Linked DNA regions of Rattus norvegicus. The protein of the gene in region 1 binds, or shares a complex with, the protein of each later gene. Links are inferred from orthologs where the notes say so. Each region holds a gene or a part of one and is shown in the gene's direction. Other genes may lie near its edges.

Region 1 (9,724 bases):
TCAGACATCTGTAATCCCAGCTGCAAGGGATTCCCTGGGGTTCCCTGGGGGCTCCCTGGGCAGCCAGTCTAGCAGCGCAGAGTGTTTTAGGCTCAGTGAACCCTGTTTCAAAAAATAAGGTAGAAGCTGAGCACAGTGTTCACCTTTAACCCCAGCACTTGGGAAGCAGAACTCTGTGAGTTTAAGGTTAGCCTCATTGATCTACATAAGGCAGTGCTACGACCTTTACTACAGTTCCTGTGCTGTGGTGACCTGGAAAGTTTTTTTTGTTGCTACTTCACAACTACAATTCTGTTACTGTTATGACTAGAAATTAAATATTTTTGGAGATAGAAGTTTGTCAAAGGGATCTAGACCCACAGGTTGAGAACCTCTGACATACAGCGTTCCAGGCCATGGAATGCTGCAGAATGAGACCATGTCTGAAAAAGAGAGAGAGAGAGAAAGAAAGAAAGGCAAGGAGTCTAGCCTCTGATATCTCCACACAGGAATATACCTAAGCATGTGCTCACATTGTATCCCGAAAATATTTTTTCTTTTTATTCAATGTGTACAAATGTTTGCCCTCATGGATTTACGTGCTCCCATGTATGTGTGCCTGATGCCCTTAGAGGTCAGAAGGGGACTGGACCTCCTGGAACTGAGTTACAGGTGGGTGGCTGTAAGTCACCACGTGGGTGTCGAGAACTGGACCCAGGTCCTCTGCAAGATCGACAAGTGTTCTTAAGCACCAGGCTGTCTCTTTAGCCACAGAACTTTTTTTGTTGTTGTTGTTTTTAATTAAAAAAAATTTATTGCCATATTGAAGCTTTGCTGGATATGACTGTAAACTGTCAGAGATCATTTGGGAACTATTTTTTCATTTTAGGTGTTTTAAGATCCAGGGAGGGCTGGAGAGATGGCTCAGTGGTTAAGAGCACAGACTGCTCTTCCCAAGGTCCTGAGTTCAAATCCCAGCAACCACATGGTGGCTCACAACCATCTGTAATGAGATCTGATGCCCTTGTCTGGTGTGTCTAAAGGCAGCTACAGTGTACTCATATATAATAAATAAATAAAATATTAAAATATTAAAAAAAAAGATCCAGGGAGACCTTAAAGTCTCATTTATATTGAACCTCCTGCCTCATTTCCCACCCCCAAAAAATGGTGCGTGCGTGCGTGCGTGCGTGCGTGCGTGCGTGCATGCATGCATGTGTGTGTGTGCGCGTGTGTGTGTGCGCGCGCACGCGCGTGTGTGTGTGCGCGCGCACGCGTGTTTGACAGGCAGATCTAACTATATTCAGTTGCAATCCCAACTGTGTTGTCCTCCCTCCTGCTTCCTCCGCTCTCCTCTGCGCCCTTAACTTAGTGAGAAGGATGGCCCTGGCAGCCCAGCTTTAGTGTAGATTGTTCCCACAGGAGAAGGGAAGAGTCACATGGGGCCTCCTCCCCAGAAGACAGCATTTGTTACTGACCTAGGAGCTGCTGGCTCCGTGTGTTTGTAGCGTGACTGCTTTGCCATTTGCTTTGTAGTGCGTGTCTGGGATGTCCGGCCATTTGCTCCCAAAGAGAGATGTGTGAAGATATTTCAAGGAAATGTCCACAACTTTGAAAAGGTGAGTAGGACTTGCCTTGGGGGTTGGTTTTACTGTGCGTTTGATCTGAAGAAGTATTTGAAGTGATGCTCAGGATAGAGTTGTTGACGCACTATGAATGAGTTAAGTCTGGTAATAGTAGCCATTCTTCATCAAAGCTGCCCTCCCTCCTGCCCAGCTTCCCATGTGCTCAGATTACAAGAGCTGCCCCCATGGTGGGCTCACAGCTCTTCTTACCAGAAGCGAAATTAATAGAGTGTATTAGAGAAGGCAGTCTCACGGGTTGCCAGACTGGGGCCCATTCATTCCTAGACTTGTCTTCAGCACCTCCCTGACAGGGCTTTCATTTCTGGCCTTATCCCTTGGGAATCTCGATCCTGTAAGTTACTGTCTGTGGCCCAGGCCCCCATTGCTGTTACCTAGATACCAGCTGTCAGAGCCCTGGTCTGTGTCTGTTCCCCTCCTAGCATGATGGCTCCAGTTCAGGATCGTTTTCTCCAATGTGTCCTGGGCAGCTCTTCTGGAGGCAGCTTCCTTGTCAGAGAGCTACTTAAGAGATGTCAGTGGTTTCCTTTTGCAAACTTACCCATACTGCTTTATTTTATAAATAAATTTTATTTCTATTGGGTTTGGTGGGGATTTTGTTGTTGTTTGTTTGTTTTTTCCTTCAAGATAAACAGCAAAGAAAAATAAAAACAAGATAAAATTTTAAAAATATTTTAATAGAATCAAGTTAAGTGAAGCTATGAGCCTTCATTTAAAGACAGAACAAGGGGGTTGGGGATTTAGCTCAGTGGTAGAGCGCTTGCCTAGGAAGCGCAAGGCCCTGGGTTCGATCCCCAGCTCCGCAAAAAAAAAAAAAAAAAAAAAAGACAGAACAAATTTTTATGGACAGATTTGTCCTTAATAACTAGGGTCAACCATCATCCCCCCCCCCCCCCCGGAGCTGGGGACCGAACCCAGGGCCTCGTGTTTGCTAGGCAAGCGCTCTACCGCTGAGCTAAATCCCCAACCCGGGTCAAACATTTCTGCATCTAGTTTTATGTATTATAAGATTACAAAGCAGGCCTGAGAGTTGCCTCAGCAGTTAAAAGCACTGACTGCCCTCTCAGGGGACCAGGGTTTGATTCCTGGTAACCACAGAACATAATTGTCTGTAACTCCAGTCCCAGGGGATATGATGCCTGTTTCTGGCCTCCTCCGTTGCTGGGCACACATGTGATGCCCAAACATACTTGCAGACAGATTACCTAAAATAATACACTTAGATTGATAATAAATAAGGTAGGCCAGGCCATAGTGGCATATGCTTTTTTTTTTTTTTTATTCCCAACAATTGGGAGGCAGATCTTTATGAATTCGAAGCCAACCTGGTCTACAAAGTGAGTTCTAGGACAGTCAAGGATGTTGTTACACAGAAAAACCCTGTCTAGAAAAACCAATACATGAATAAGAATTTTTTTTAGAAGTAAGATACGGAAATATTTAAAGAAAAATTAATGAGATTACAGAGCGTGCTGTTTTGAGCAGGAGTGTGATGGCTGATGACGTCTGGGAGATACTGAAGCCTAGTAGGGAATTAAGTCAGCTGACCCCTAGTGCAGCGAGACGGGTTTAGCACACTAACTGTTCATGGAGTCTTTTTTCATTGCAGAACCTCCTGAGGTGTTCCTGGTCACCAGACGGAAGCAAGATAGCAGCTGGCTCAGCAGACAGGTAAGGGTCCCTGGGTATGAGGTGGAGAATGGGGTGGCTATGCGGGTCCCACACCTAATGCCTAACTGTGAAGACAACAGAGGTACAGCTTTCCACGTGACTGAGGGGCTCTCAGAAGTGAAGCCGTGTGAAGACAAATGGTTTAGAGCCCATGTTGGACACACGTAGTTTTCTGTCTGTTTGTTTTTAGGCCTAGAGAGTCGACTGTGTTTATATCTGTTGGAGACTGATAATCTTCCTAGTGTCTCTGCCTTCTCCTTCCCGTCATGTAATACATTAGAGGCTGTCCCTCCTGCCATTCTTCTCCAGGGTCTCTCACACCTCCCTCAGTGCTCTCTAGACTGTCTTCCCAGTAACCACTCTGCTCCTTCTCTGAGCTATCCATGGCACTCTCTCAGTGTTCGCTCCCTCGCCTTTTCTCTCTCTTCTCCTTCACCCTCTCCCTTCCCCCTCTCTCCCTTTAGCATGACACATTGCTCTTTGTTCCATACATCTAACTTTTATACATATTTTTCTTCCTTACATTTAGACAGACATTGGGGGCATCTCTGTGAATGGCTCTCACAGTCAGAACAATCTTTTGACATCCTCTGTAAACCCAGGGTACTGGTTGGTGCTTGAATTCTGAGCGCTTGCTGTTTCAAGGACAAATTCCTAGGTCAGAGGTGACAATCAAATGCCACCCTTGTATCAACCCAGCATTTGGTCATAGCTGTCAATGTTAAAGATAATTCAGAATCAGCTCCAGGCTCGGTGGAAAGTGCCAATGTCGCTGAGGGAAGCAGGTTAGATAGCGTCCATCTCTGCCAAGTCACTAGGCTTTCCCGAGTATGAACTTAGAATGACTCAAGGCCTTAGTTGTGAATGGGAAACAGGGCAGAATTCACCTGTCAGATACAGGCTGGTTCTGGTGTCTGTGGTGCTGCGTACTTGGGAGAAAATCTGATGGAGTAGAGATTCTGAGTGCCAGGGACGAAGGACTTGTAAGTGACGCCTAGAGGTTCACAGTAGAGGCCTGAAAGCAGGGGTTCCCTTTGGGGACATGCTTAGAAACTTTGCAAGACAAGGTGTCATCATGGATCTCTGGCTGTCTTCAGACTCAGTGCGTACGGCAGACTGGCCTTGAACTCCGAGCAGGAGTGAGCTAGCGTGTCCAGCTCACATCTTCTGACTTACAATGTCTTCTTGCTCCTCTTCCTCTGACCAATCCTTAAAGAGGACACATGGCTTGGTGGAAGGAAAGCGTGCTCCTCTGCTGAGCTTGGCTGGATTTCACAGGCCACCCTGATAGCCTAAAGTCAGCAGTCAGTTCTGTTGTATAAGTAACCTGGTTTCTACCAAATGGTGACATGCCCACGTGTGGGGAGGACAAGGAACCCTCTAAATTTAGCATGTAATTGGCAGCCATGAGGAGTGAGCAAGGCCTTGAAGTAAACCCTTGGAGATCTAGGCTTCTGCTGGTTTCTGCCAACTTGAGAGATAATATCCAACTCAGAAAACCACTTTCCAGCTGTGCCTGGGTCTGGTGGGTTTCCCCTTCTGCTTACAGATCACCTCCCCCTGTGCCCTCTAACCCTCCGCAGCCCTGTTACAGGCACCGGCTGAGCCGCCAAGAGGATTCAGGTCAGCACATGACTTCATTGGCTCTGGCTGTGTAACACACTCACATTAGCAATAGCAGTCACTAATTCTGCGTGCCACTTTGCGTATATTCTTGTTCTCAAAAAGTTAGAATCCAGGGGTTGGGGATTTGGCTCAGTGGTAGAGCGCTTGCCTAGGAAGCGCAAGGTCCTGGGTTCGATCCCCAGCTCCGAAAAAAAGAACCAAAAAAAAAAAAGCTAGAATCCTTTTTTCCCCCACCTTTTTTTTTTTTTTGGTTCTTTTTTTCGGAGCTGGGGACCAAACCCAGGGCCTTGCGCTTCCTAGGCGAGCGCTCTACCACTGAGCTAAATCCCCAGCCCCTCCCCCACTATTCTAACGAAAGAAAGGCAGTTGTCTGACAAGCTGGCCAGTGAGTCCATGCTGTGGACCTTGCCCCCACTATTCTGACTCCAGTGCCGTCAGCCTTCCCCTCTGCCTGGGGCGGGGCTGGTGAGGGACAGTGGCTTGTGCGTGGCAGAGATAGGCATCAGAGGGCATGAGCACTAGCTCAGAGGCAGGGATGGGGTCTGCCTCCTGTCTAGACTATTTAGGTCTTATATAGCCCAGGATGGCCTTTAAATTCCATGTCTTGCAGCCTGTTTGTACCAAGTGCTGGGTTTACACGCATGTGCCAATATACCCAACTATTCCAAGTGTGTTACTCAGATTTGGAGCCCACACGGAGAGAGCACAGGACATAACTAATGAACTCTTGTTCATTTGTTGAGTATAGGGGTTTAGACCATCTCAGTACATTCTAGGCTGGCCTCAAACCCATAGTCCTCCTGGCTTCCCTCTTCCCAGTGCTGGGATTGCAGGTATAGTCTTTCTGTGATTTCAGAATTTTGTCAATTCTGTAAATAGCATAATCAGTCATGGACTGTATCTATTTTGTTGGGGTTTGTTTGTTTTTTAGCATTCTTTTTTTTTTTAAGATTTATTCATTTATTATATATAAGTACACTGTAGCTGTCTTCAGACACACCAGAAGAGGGCATCGGATCTCTTTACAGATGGTTGTGAGCCACCATGTGGTTGCTGGGAATTGAACTCAGGACCTCTGGAAGAGTAGCCAGTGCTCTTAACCACTGAGCCATCTCTCCAGCCCTTGTTTGTTTTTTGAGACAGGGTTTCCCTGTGTAGCCCTGGCTTTCCTAGAACGAACTCTGTATATCAGGCTGCCCTTAAACTCACAGAGATCTTAATGCTAGGATTAAAGGCATGCAGCACTGCTGCCTGGCCTCAGTTTGGTTGGTTTGAAGCCCCAAATATTCTCTGTTTCAGTTGGTGTTGTCCTGTTTTCCAAAGCCCAGAGGATTGTTCAGTAAGCAAACGTTCTCCATTTTGCTTCCAGCCCAAGTGCTCTGACCCTCTTCTAAGGGACCTTCCTTTGTTTGTTGTGGCATCTTGCAGGTTTGTGTACGTGTGGGACACCACAAGCAGAAGGATCCTGTATAAGCTTCCTGGTCATGCTGGCTCCATCAATGAGGTGGCCTTCCATCCCGATGAGCCCATCAGTAAGTCCATGTCTGCCATGACTGCTCCAGATGGGAAGTGACCTCTCTCCAGGACCCTGGGGGTACAGAGGCAGGCAGGCAGGCAGGAGTCAGTTATGTGAATTCAGTGTTAACACTGGGGTTTGAGGGTTTGGGGGTGTGGGGATGTGGGGGCTGGGACAGTGACAGTGACCAGAGGAAGGCAGTTGACAGCATACAGGAGACCCAGCACAGGAGTAACCCAGGGGTTGCTTTTTATACGAATGCTCAGATGGAACTGGGAATCTTTTTAATTTTTCCAGACAGGGTGTCTTTGTGTAGCCCTGACTGTCCTAGAACTCAGAGATCTGCCTGCCTCTGCCTCCCAAGTGCTGGGATTAAAGGCCTGCACCACCATTACTAGGCCAAACTGAAAGTCTCTCTAGCTGGGTCTTACTATGTAGCCTTGGCTTAGCTGATGCTCACTTTGTATCCTATGCTGGCCTCATCTGAGGTAATCTTCCTACCTCTCCTACCTCGGCCTCCCAAATACCAGGTTCTTCAGGTGAACTCAGCACTTAAACCACAGGAGGGGATCTCAGGGAGAGTCAGTATGAAGCAGTGTTGCAGCTTATTAATAATGAGCCTGGAGGGCTGGAGAGATGGCTCAGTGGTTAAGAGCACTGACTGCTCTTCCAGAGGTCCTGAGTTCAATTCCAAACACCTACAAGGTAGCTCACAACCATGTGTAATTGGATCCAGCGCCCTCTTCTGGTGTGTCTGAAGACAGGGCTTACTTATATTGAATGAATGAATGGATGGATGGATGGATGAATGAATGAATGAATGAATGAATGAATGAGCAAGCGAGTGAGCGAGCCTGGAGTGGACACATGCCTCAGGGGGGTTGCTGCCATCTATGGTTCAGTCTTGGAATTGCTGTCCCAGATGGTGAGGTAGCCATCAGTTCCTTACCTCAAAGAAGACTGAATAGACTGAGGCCTTTTGTCACCCCTCAGTTCAGGTCTCTCCATGTTTTTGTCTCTTCTGAGTGGCAGGGATTGTATGTAGTCAAGAATGGTTTGTAAATATTTAGATTAAAATTATATTAAATTTGATTAGCTAGCTAAGCCAATTAAAGAAAACCTGTTAGTGTTCTCCAGGACTCTATAAAGCACATTGACTGGGTGGGTGGGGACTTGTAATCCCAGCTCTGAGTGGGCAAAAGCAGGAGGCTCACTGGAGGTTTAAGGCTAGCCAGTCTACATAGCAGGTTCTAGGTCAGACTGGGCTGAACAGAGAGACTATCTCAAATCTTGTCTGAGAATGCCACAGCCCCAAAGAAACACATAGGTGGACGCATGCATGTGTGTGTGTGTGTGAGAGAGAGAGAGAGAGAGAGAGAGAGAGAGAGAGAGAGAGAGAGAGAGAGACTGGCATAGACATCAACAGTGTTTTTCTTGGGTTTGAGCCTGGCTGTTTCCTGTGTACAGCCATCTTCCCGATTTTGAGAGGACTTGGATGAAAAGCCAGACTGCAATTCCCTGTGTGTTTAGGAGAATTCCAGCTAAATCCAATTGCTCTTCTTTGTCACAGCTGTCTCTTGACACAGGGCCCTTGAGCCCGAGGATTGTCCTGAGCCTTCATTGTCTCCTCTCGCTCTTTCTTTCTCAGTCCTCTCAGCATCCAGTGACAAGAGGCTGTACATGGGTGAGATCCAGTGAAAATGTGGAATGGAAGGCCCCGTGACCCGAGGCTCAGACTACGCCATTGGCCAGAGTCAGATGGTGTCTGGGCTGACCTGCCTTCAGATGACCATCGTTAGCAAGCAGCTGGACCTGATGGCCATATTCCAGCAACCTCTTGTACCCCATTTACCAGAACCACTGTGGCCTCTGGTACCACCCGCCAGATTCAGGGATTGGTTTCTTCTCTTTAAAAATAAGATTTCTTCAGAAAGACAAACGTTGGTTTGATATTTCCTGTTTTTAATCTAGGCTGGAGACAGGGAGTGGCAATTTGAAATTTGTTAGTTGCATTTATTTTTGTTTTATTTTTAAATTGAATAACTAGCTTGTATGATATTTGTTTCTGTGTTTGAGTCATTTTGTATTAAAAATCCAAACAGATACCTTTTTACAAGAACCTTGTGGCTTGGGTTTATTGTTGTCTTTTCTCTGTGGCTTGGCTGCTGTAAGTCAGAGCAAGCACATGTCCGGGAGGTATATACAGTCCACTTACACGTCGGTGGCCCTTGTGTGGAGCTCCCCTTTCTGTTGGTAGGTTTCTTCACTCCTGTGAAAATGACGTTGTGTAATTGTGTTCCATAGCTGTCAGGAGAATAGCGTCTCTAACTAAAGCTGAGCATCCAGAGGAGATCAGTGAGGTCCGGAAGAGCCTGGCGCTCATGTGTTTGGACACATCTCTAACAAACAGGGCCTGTCTGCTCTGCCCCCTGCCCAGAGCACTTGTCTTAGTGGCAGCCCTGTGCTTGGGGTCCTGGAGTAGACAGGAGTGTGACAGCCCCAGCCAGGACGCTGCTTCCCGAGCAGTGCACAGGGGAGATGGGTGTCTGATGGGCCTAAGCCATGGCGGTTTCTGGAGCTTTTTATGATCCTATTTTTTGTCTGATTTTCCTGCTCTGACAGAGATGGTGAGAAATTCTGTCATGTGCCTTCTACTGGAAACTTCTGTCTCAAAACAAGAAGTTTTCCTATCTGAGTATGTTTGGCTTTAGACTTTCAGCTTATGATCTTGAATCATATTTATCCCATGTTACAGAGAGGGTGCTACCCTGGTTTTAGAGCATAGTCACTCAACAAGCACCTGTTATGTGACAGGTAAAGTCATCATTGCCGAAGACAGAGACAGAAGACATCCTGTCCTTGACACTGTGAGAAATGCACAGACCAGTAGAGAACACTGTCGGAAATAAACTCTTTTTTTTTTTTTAAGTGAGCACAAGCCAGAGATTTATTTAACTTATTAATGAAGAAGTCGGCCGTATGGGAAGGCTCTCAGAGCAATTACTTGTAATACAGTGAATGAAGTTTGACTAAAGCACACTGGAAACACAGGGGGAAGCGATTTATTGTGCCTGGGAGAGAACAAGGAAACATCGATGGTGTGATTACGCTTGGATAGGGGAGAGGATGTGAGGAGGGCTGTCTAAAAACAGACACAATCCTGAGGGTATGTGGTGTGTCTCATGAACCAGAGGACCTCAGTGTGACAGAGACAGGGACAGCAAACAGAAGGAGCCAAGCCCCAGAGAGCGTAAACATCAGGTACATCCTGTAGATTGCCGTTTGCTGA
Region 2 (9,824 bases), on another chromosome or scaffold:
CCTCCCCGTCCAAGAAGAGCAGCTGCAGGGTCACTGGTGCTGCCTGTGGGAACAAGCCACCGAATCAGTACCAACCCTTGGCATCGGCCCACACATGTGCCTGCCTGTTTATTTGCACAGCTCAGGTGGGATAAACCTAGCTTCCTCATTCATGCAATCTGGTGACAGAAGCCACTGGTTGAGCCAGAGGCCTGGGCTCAAATCCACACTGTAGGTGGTTGCTGGATAAAGTTACTTGCTTTTGGTTGTTGTTGTTTTGTTTTGAGATAAAGTCTAGGATAGCCCAAGCTAGCCTGCACCTTCCATCCCTCCTATCCTCGACTCTACCTGGGGTTACAGGTGTGCAGCAGAATGCCCGGCTTTGTTTTGTTTTCCCTTTTTTTTTTTTTTTGTGCCGCTGGAGAATGCTCTAGGTGTAGCCCATATGCTACACCTGCAGGCTTTCATCCAATTGCCCAGGCTACCCTTGAGCTCACTCTATAGCCCAGGCTGGCCTTGAACTCTGCTTCCTCAGGCCTCTATGTCTGGAGGAGCTGGGATTACAGGCCTGAACCACCAGGGTTGGCTCAATTTCTTCAACTACGAATGGGGCTAATAACAGCTCTGTTCACAGGATCACATTTGAAATCAGGTCTTTAAGAACTGAAAACAAGTCAGCTCTGGTTATTATTACTTAAGTCTCGCTGGGCAAGATAGACAGACAGACAGACAGACCAACCCACAAGGGAAGAACTGCACAAACAGCAGATCACAATTAGGACAAATGCTTCTAAGATCACCAGCTTCTGAGGGTCCAGGAGGTTGATCTGGCTGGCAGAGGCCGCTGGCTCTACTGGACAGGGGTGTTTGCACTGAGAGTGAGTTGATGGGACGTGACCTAGCAAAAAGCGAACAGAATTCCCAGGCACGGGGAAGGCCTGGACCAGAGCTGGGGCCAGAGGGCTTTGAGAGGAGGGCAGAGAGAGGGGTTAGGAAGATCCACAATTTTCGGGCCTTGTTTTATAACAGAAGCACTGGGAAGCCAGAAAAAAGGGTCTGAGGAAGAGAGACACTTGATGAAATGTGTTTTCATTCATTCCACAGATTTTTACTAATGTCCAACTTTATTCTGACCCAGGGAGACATAACCAGAAGGAGAAGAAGCCAGGTCTGCATCGTGGGACATACTGAGATTAGAGAAAAACGAGTAATTTCATCAGCACCATAAGGAATGGGCAGTAACCGGGAAGTTACTTGGGGGACAGGGAGAGGTGAGGTCTGAAAGTATTCTTTACAAAAGAGAGTTTTGCCAGGAGTGAGGGTGGGAAGGAGGGCCATACATGAGGAAAAAAGTGATCTTTACAGGCAAACAGCAAATGCTAATGAGGCGGAAATGAAGCCTCTGGATTGGAGGGACACCGAAAGGGGTGTGGCTAGAGTGGAGAGCACGTGGGGTCCACCCTCTGGCTTTGGGTTAGGATATGATGGGGGTCCATGGGAGAGTCTCCAGACACAGGAGGGCATGATCTGCCTTTTAGGATGTAGATCCCTGTGGGAGACTGAGGATGTAGCTCAGTTGACAGAGCCTTACTGAGCATGCGTGAAGCCCTGGGCTCAGAGTTCAGAATAGCATAAATAAGACATGGTACATGTACGGCTGTAATGACAGCACTGGGGAGATGGAGGCAAGAGGGTCACAAGTTCAAATTCACTCTTGAGGTTGATGTTAGTACAGCCTACATGAAACACGGCTAGATGACAGTAGGTCTGGCGGCACAAACCTGCCATGTCGCTTGGAAGGGCGGTGCAGAATGGCTGAGTTCAAGGCTAGCTTGGGCTACATACTAGTAAAGCCCTATATCAAAAAAAAAAAAAGGAAAGAATGACAGACGGAAACGAGGACGTGGGCCAGGGACAGACAACCCTCCCCTACTCCTCACCTGCTGCTTGATTCTGCTCAGCATGACATCAAGGGCCTGGACTAACTCCAGAAGCAGGGCACAGGGCACGGCTGAATCTGTGGCCCCCACAAAGGGGGGTAACCCAGGAGGGAAGAACTTAGAGTCATAATGGCAGGCGAGGGTGAGGTGACGGGCAGCTCCTGGGTCAAGGGTGGCCACCACGTTCCCGAAGTCCAGTGGCCCCAAGGGGGTTGAGGCTGTGAATGGGTCCAGTTCCACGTGCCAGCCTGCCGATAGGGACTGCAACGTAGCCTCCAGGAACTATTGGCAAGAGAGAGGTAGGAGGGTGGACAGGGACTGGGGAGGAGGTAGGGAAAAGGGCCTTGTGACTGGAGCCACGCAGAGCAGTCTGGGTGACTAGAAAGTCCCACTTTGGATTAGGTTGGTCCCTTGACATAGGCTTCTGCTGAGAAGTGGCTGAGTGCCAGGTGTAGGAGAGCCATACCTCTTGATAGCAACAAAACTTGTCATGGCTTATTTTGAGACAGATTCTCACTATGTAGTCCAGGCTAGCCTCCAACTTGCTGTGTAGCCTAGGCTGGCCTAGAACTCCAGCTCATGTTTCTGCTTCCAGAGTGATAGGATTATATATAGACCCAGACCACCACCACACCCAGGTGTGGAGAAAGTTCTCTCTCTCTCTCCTCTCTTTCTCTCTCCACCCACCTACCCCCACCCAAGCACCCTCCCTTCTCTCTCCCTCTCTCCCCTCATGTTGATTCTTCCAAAATCACGAGTAGGCCAACTTTCAACTAACTCACTTCCACCCTTTCCCCTTCCTGCCTCTCTCCATGGTGCTGAGGATGGATCCCAGGATTTCCTGCATGCTTACACAGCCACAGCTACACACTGGTGAATCCTAGGCAAGCCTTCTACCGTTGAGCCACACCTCCATCCTCACATTGGAGGAGTTCTAAGCAAGTGGAGCCATGCTCTCACTTCCTCTTGAAAAGTTCCCACTCTGTGCTTTTTAGGATCCCTATGAAATCGACGATGTCACTGACCCCATTTTGAAGATGAGGAAACTGAGTCCCAAAGAGGTTAAGAAGTTAGTCCAACTAAGGTGGATCCTAAACACAGTATCTGAATGGCAGCAAAGCAATGTTATACCACTAATTCTGAAGCCAACCTTCTTGGATTTTAATTTCAACCAGCTGTGGGATTTGGACAAAATACAATAACTTCAGTTTCCTCATCTGATAATGGAGATCATATCAGTTCTGATCTCACTAGACAGTACATTGCTTCTGCCTAGTATAGGGTAAAAGTTTGGTGGGGGTCGTATAGTGTGGGATTTGTGCACCACCAAGAAATCTAGTCTGGTTCACCCACCACCACTACTCCCCCACACACACCCCCAACACACGCACACACTCCCCATCCCTGCCCCCCACCCCCATCAGATCCCTAGTCTGCCTCCTGGCTGTTTTGGGATCTTTGGTGCCTGAGTTCCATTTCCTGACAGACTGGGGAAAGGAAGTTGGGGGTTGAAAATAAAACCCTTTACCTTTCTCACTTGGAGATTGCCAGGACTACCTGGGGGTCGTACAATCAACAAGGGACGCAGAAAAGTTCCCCAGAGACGCTGTGGATCCAGCTGCCCTACCACAAGCCGCAGCTTGGCTTCTGAAAGGCTTCCGATCAGCGGGACCTTGGTTGGGAAATGGGATGGGGGAAAGAAAAATGAAAAAGATCCCATTCCCAACTTATCCCGGACGCGGTTGCCCACTAGGAATGCTGATTCTTCTTGGTGATGCAGTCTCCAGCATCCAAAGATTTCCTAGATTGGGAGAAATCTTCAAAGCAAATCTGATCCAGCCTACTGCAGTCCTGACGAAGAAATTGCAAACGGGTGATGGAGACTTCTAAATAAATGGTTTGGGCACAGAGCTCAGATCTACCAGTGTTTCTATGCGGATGCATCCTCTTCAGAGGGGTCTAATCATAAAACAAGCCTGAAACCTTATTTTGTTGGGAAGGGGCATACGCTCAAGTGATGGATAAAGAAATAGCACAGGCGGCAAGGGCTAAACGATAAGGCCACGCTAACCCGAGACTCAATATGAAGGGAAAGAGGGAAATGACGCTGGCTGGGCCCCAGCCAAGGCTTACCCGCAGATCCCGGCTCCGTGATACCTCCTCAACCCCAGGGTGCCAGCTATTCCAGACGATATAAAAAGCCAAGCCCAGGGCCAGCGCCAGCAGCAGCAGGGGCAGGAGCTGCACCCGCGGCAGAAGACGGCGCTTGGAAAGTGAGGGTGGTTTCATGAGGCCGCGATCCCCGAGCCGCTGCCGAGACCGCCCGCGGCTGGCCGGACTCATGGCAGCTTTGCCCTGAAACCAATCCCCCCGCAGGGTGGTTTGAGTTTAGGCCAAGATTCGCCTCTCGGAGGTTACAAATGCCAATAAAGAAACACAGTAACTGCGTCCTCCCCCAATCGATTGCGATTGGCTCTCCTAAGCGCCGCACCACCCAAAAGGGAGCGCGGAAACCTTAAGGCCCGCCCCCACGGGAGAGAAACAGGCAATGAGCTGTGTCCGAATATACGAAACCTTCCCCGGCGCGGGGCCACGCCCCTTACGGAAGTCGATCAAGAAACTGTGGTTCAAGGAAAAAGGGGCGGCATCCATCCCTAAAACAAGGAACCGATTGGTTTGCCTGAAGCCATGCCCTCAAGAAAATTGTCGGCGGGTATTTTGGAAACCGGGTTGCGTTTTCCTTCTCCCAACTAGACAGTTAGGCGGGAAAACAATTTCAGTCAGACCCCGTTTTATTTTCCGCATGAGCAGACAACCTATTGTGATCCTCAGAGGCTTCAAATCCTCCCTATAGGCATTTTCTGCAGGAGAGCGTAGCCTTAGAGTCACTATGGTAACAGGGCACGCCCACAGTCGTGATTGCGCAGGCGTCGACGGAAGTCAGCCGCAGGAGACGGAAGTCCCGCCCTTCTCTTGCTGTGCTCCAAAGGCTAAAGCAACGCGCTTGGAGGCGGGAGTGATCTGCTAGCGAAACCTTCACCATGTGAGGCCGGGACGGGCTTCGGCGGGGACACGAAGATGGAGGGGGACGGTTTAGCTAAATAACAATCGAAATGGGGTGCTCATAGCTGAGGGTAGAGTTTCTCGGGCAAAAATAATGTCTTCTGAGGGATTTGAGAACGGGCATGGGGCCTCGGTTCTTGAGTTCCGGAGAGGGGACAGCTTTATTCCATAATGGGTGTAAGACTCTTCTAGGTACCGAGGCTTGCGGAAATGAACCGTAAAGGAAAAACTGAGTCTGATGGCACATGCCTAGAATCCCAAGCCTAGAGAGGCTGAGTCAGGAGTATCGCTAGTTGGTGGTCAGCCTTGACCAGCTTCATAGCGTGTCCGCTTACAAAAGTAATAGTAATTTTATATAGAAGTGGTCTTAATGGATGAAGAGCTTGGCGGAGAAGGAAGTACTATTAGAAATAGTAAATAGAGACGTATGGGACTTAACCAGGATAAATTAGGACTTTTGAACCTAATTAGAGATTGTCAGAGTAGCAGGCTACTACAATGGTTTATTCATTGAGCGGATATTATGTAGACTGTAAGTTAGACACATGGTAAATAGAAGGTCCTTGCTACCAAGGAAAAAAAATCTCTCAGGGCTTATAAAAAGAATCCAATAGGAAAGCCATAGAGTAATAAACAAGTACATACAGTATGTCTTAGATGATCAGGAGTGTGAATGGAGAATTGAGTAGGAAAGAAATAACACCAGTAGGTAGCACAGAAGTATTGGGCATTGAAAGCCCAATACTTGGGCTGGGGATTTAGCTTAGTGGACAGAGTACTTACCTACTGTGGGCCCTGGGTTTGGTCCTCAGCCACACACAGACTAGATGTAACCCCAGTATCCTGGAGGCAGAGACAGACAAGTCTGAGTTCCAGGGGCAGGTCTATTTATACAGGGAGACACTGTTGTGGGGTGGGATGGAAGAGAAATGGCCAAATTTTTGGACATATCATGGAAGCAGATGACAAGATAAGACGACAGAGTGAGGTTTGAAAGAATCAGGTGCCAGGCATGATGGTGAGCCCCCTGTAATCTCAGACCTTGGGTGATGGAGTCAGGAGAATTGAGAATTCAAGGTCAACAGTGGCTGGACGAGGTTTGGTTAATGAGCTGGAGCAGGCTAACTTGGAAATGTCTCTCCTGCCTCCAGAGAAGACTGTACCAGGAAGGGCATTTGGGGGCCAGGCTGGGGAGACACTGGACAATGTAGCTTTGGTCACTTATGCTTCCAACCTGAACCCGTCTCACCCCCCGGGTTCTCTATCCAGGAGTCTCCTCAATAAACCCAAGAGTGAGATGACCCCAGAGGAGCTGCAGAAGCGGGAGGAGGAGGAATTCAACACAGGTCCCCTCTCGGTGCTCACACAGTCGGTCAAAAACAACACGCAAGTGCTCATTAACTGTCGAAACAACAAGAAGCTCCTGGGCCGGGTGAAGGCCTTTGACAGGTGGGCATTGTCTTGGGGAAGGTCATTTGAGAAGAATTGTCGTAATAAGGTGGGCAAGGTGACAAAGTGCCTTTAGTCTCAGCACTCAAGGGGATCACTGTCAGTTGGAGCCAGCCAGGGTCACAGGGCAAGACCCAGCTAGCTCAAAAAATTAGAAAGTGGGGGTGCTTGGCTTTTTTTTTTTTATCTTATGTGTTTGGGCGTTTTGTCTGCGGGTGAGTCTGTCTGTGTACTGTGGACATGTCTAATACCTTCAGAAGTCATCAGATCCCCGGCAGGAGGAGGGACAGGAATTAAGATGTTTGGTTTGTTCCTCTGTAGGCCAGACATCAATGTCAAATATCTTCTACTGCTTTCTAGTTTGTTTTGAGGCAGGGTCTTTAACTATGTAGCCTGGGCTGGCTACAGATGTAGCAGAGGCTAACCTTATGCTTCTGATCCTCTTGCTACCATCTCCCAAGCGCTAGGATTACAGGGGCGAAGCATACCCTCCTGCCTTGTTTTAGTTAGCATGGAAGTTGCCTTGTGACGTGGTCCTACACATCTGGCATTGTACTTTGCTCATCGTCACTGTCCTCAAGCAAGCATTCGTGGAATGAACTGATCCAAGTGTGAGCACATGTCCACCTGCATGAGGACAGGGCCATGAGGCACTGGAGTGCACGTGTTGGGAACCATGTCTAACCCCAGAACTTAAGGTTTGGAGGGAGCTAATGCTTCTCTCAGAGTTAGAGTTAACTGCAGAGCCAGGGCCATTTTGGTGACCTTTACTGTGTACCGGGGTCCTAAGTGCTTCTTTCATCCAATCTTCACATCAGCCCCATGAAGTAGACTGTTTCCATTTCAAGAAGGGGGAAACTGAGGCACAGAAGGGACACTTAAGATGGGGCTGAGATCACACCTTGAAGCCTGCCCATCCCCACTGTGGAACCTGAACTCCGTCCCTATGCCTGCTGCTGGAGGGTTCACACATTCAGAATGTCCCCCTCACTCTGGCTTTTTCCTCCACCCTTTACCCCATCAGGCACTGCAACATGGTGCTGGAAAATGTGAAGGAGATGTGGACTGAGGTCCCCAAGAGCGGCAAGGGCAAGAAGAAGTCCAAGCCTGTCAACAAGGACCGCTACATCTCCAAGATGTTCCTGCGCGGGGACTCAGTCATTGTGGTGCTGCGGAACCCGCTCATCGCTGGCAAGTAAACTAGAGGCCAGCCTCAGCCCGCTGAGAGCCTGCTCCCTGCCCAGCCAAGTCCCGCAGAGCCCTGCCCAATGAGCTAGAAATAAAACCCTGTGCTTTTTGTTTTTTATGTTTTCTAGTGGTCTTCTCTGCCCTTGGGTCTTAGAGAGAGAGGCACTAGGACAGGGCCTCTGAGTGCTGGGGCATATGACTGCCCTGACTGCCAAGTAGACCGCCAAATTTGACTTTTGTGTATTGTGTGGCGGGGTGCGGATACAGGTGAGAAAGGGGGTCCTACTTAAGGGGCTTGTTGAAGGACCTTGCTGTTTTCTGGACTGTACACAGGGCCCTCTGTCCTACCCACTACTCTGTCCATCTGTATCTCTGTCCCTGCCCTCTCAGGTAATTCTAAACACGAAATTCAGGAGATCTGGGCTAGAGGTCAGCATTATCTGCCCTCCTTAAATGCATACAAAGCAGTATGGGTGTCTGGTCTGGATACGTCTGTTCTCTGTGCCCATAGGGGGCCCGGGAGGAGGGTTGGACTCCCCTAGTTACGTGTGAGCAGCCATGTGGGTGCTGGGAAGGAAACAAGAGCAGCGAGTGCTTTGGAACTCACTCTGTAGACCAGGCTGTCCTCAAACTCAGAGATTCCACCTGCCTTTGCCTCCCGGGTGCTGCGATTAAAGGCGTGAGCCACCACCCTCTAGCTTAGCTGTCCTCCTGAACTGTGGCAGTCACAGTCAGTGGTAGCCGGTAAGCCCCTGTGCAGAGCTGTGAAGCCTGCAGCAGAGAAAACTGCCGTGCTTGGTTGTTCAGGCACACGTTCCTGAGCAACTGCCAGAACAGCTCTGCTGTGGGCTCTAGATCTCTCCCACCCTCTCTTCTCTCTTCGTTCTTTTGTGGTCCTGGGGACTGAGACTAGGGTCTCATGCTTGGCAAGCTCTCCGCAGCCCTCCATTCACTTGTATACATGCACAAGGACAGTGTTAGGTGTCGTCTGACACTCCTTTGATCCCCTTGACAGAGTCTCATTGAACAGAACTAGGCTGGCACCCAGCAACCTCCAGTAATCCTGTCTCCACATCATGCTACAGATTCGAATTCAGGGTCTCTTGCTTATATAGCAAATGCTCCTCTAACCACTGAGCCACCTCCCCAGTTCTTCCACTAGACAGGGAATCTCTTAGGAAGTTTCTAGGGCTGGCCTTGAGCTTGTAATCCTGCCATGGTCTTCCAAGCAGCTCGGATGACAGGCCTATGTCTCCACAGCCATCCAGCTCATTCAGTTGAAATCATTGAGATTCAGGAAGGGCATTAACATGTCCCAAAGTCACCCAAGTGAGAAAATAATGGTGCTACATTCAGATAGACAGGCAGGGCTGATGAAATGGCTCAGTGGCTACCAAGTTTAATGCCTAGCACCCATACCTGGCTTTAACTACAAAGCCAGGGGGATCCAGTGCTCTTGCTTCCTTGGGCACTTGCACACAAATACACATAGATTAAAAGCAGATCTGTATGCCAGGGGCATGCATTTGATCCCAGCACTCAGGAGGCAGAAGCAGAGGCAGGGAAGTCTTTGTGAGGCCAGCCTGGTCTACAGAGTGAGTTCCAAGACAGCCAGGGCTACACAGAGAAACCCTTCCTCAAAAACAAGTAAATGAAAGCAGACATGAGTGTACCCGAGATCCCCACAGCTTGAGAGACTGAGGCAGGATTGCTACAAGTTCAAGACCAGCCTGGGTTTACCTGGTGAGCCAGGCACAGTGAGGTCATCTCAAAAAGATTCCATTGAAAGCACATTCGGAAAGGAGCTAGCCTGCCCCCCCCCCCCCTTCCCATTTGATAGGCACCCATGATGCTGGCCCAGTGAGGGTGAGCACCTGCCCTCCCCGCTCCTTGGGGCTCTAGTGCTGAGGAGAAGCAGGGCCAGGCAGGGACGCAGCTCCGCTCTTCACTTAGCTCCGTCTGCACTGAGAACCTAGGATCAGAGCCTCCCAATCCACAAGAGCTGCAGCCCTCCCTCTGCATTCTGGGAAGGGAGAGAAAGGGAGTTGGTCTCTTGCCAGGCAAGTGGGCGACAGTGCCATGGAGGAAGACAACGGCCACTCTGTGGTGACCTAAAGAGCAGCAGTCGGAGCTCAACGTGGCTGCTGGGCCTTCACAGCTTGTGTGTTTTCCATAGCCAAGACTACAGTGAGAGACCCCGTCTCA

Evidence for each region.
Region 2: Snrnp40 (region 1) and Snrpd2 share a complex: the UniProt entries of both Homo sapiens proteins name them as parts of the U4/U6-U5 tri-snRNP complex. The link is inferred for Rattus norvegicus from reciprocal best matches to the Homo sapiens genes SNRNP40 and SNRPD2.

Annotation. Positions count from the first base shown.
Region 1 is NC_086023.1:148,009,366-148,019,089, forward strand, and holds the end of Snrnp40 (U5 small nuclear ribonucleoprotein 40 kDa protein), read left to right. Parts: intron 1-1,515; coding exon 1,516-1,598; intron 1,599-3,231; coding exon 3,232-3,293; intron 3,294-6,347; coding exon 6,348-6,451; intron 6,452-8,083; coding exon 8,084-8,133; 3' UTR 8,134-8,567; downstream 8,568-9,724. UniProt on the Homo sapiens protein: Required for pre-mRNA splicing as component of the activated spliceosome. Component of the U5 small nuclear ribonucleoprotein (snRNP) complex and the U4/U6-U5 tri-snRNP complex, building blocks of the spliceosome.
Region 2 is NC_086019.1:87,921,523-87,931,346, forward strand, and holds Snrpd2 (small nuclear ribonucleoprotein Sm D2), read left to right. Parts: upstream 1-4,886; 5' UTR 4,887-4,960; coding exon 4,961-4,962; intron 4,963-6,251; coding exon 6,252-6,431; intron 6,432-7,455; coding exon 7,456-7,630; 3' UTR 7,631-7,737; downstream 7,738-9,824. Other genes in the region: Qpctl (glutaminyl-peptide cyclotransferase-like protein), read right to left, coding at 1-43, 1,920-2,201, 3,448-3,591, 4,053-4,262. UniProt on the Homo sapiens protein: Plays a role in pre-mRNA splicing as a core component of the spliceosomal U1, U2, U4 and U5 small nuclear ribonucleoproteins (snRNPs), the building blocks of the spliceosome.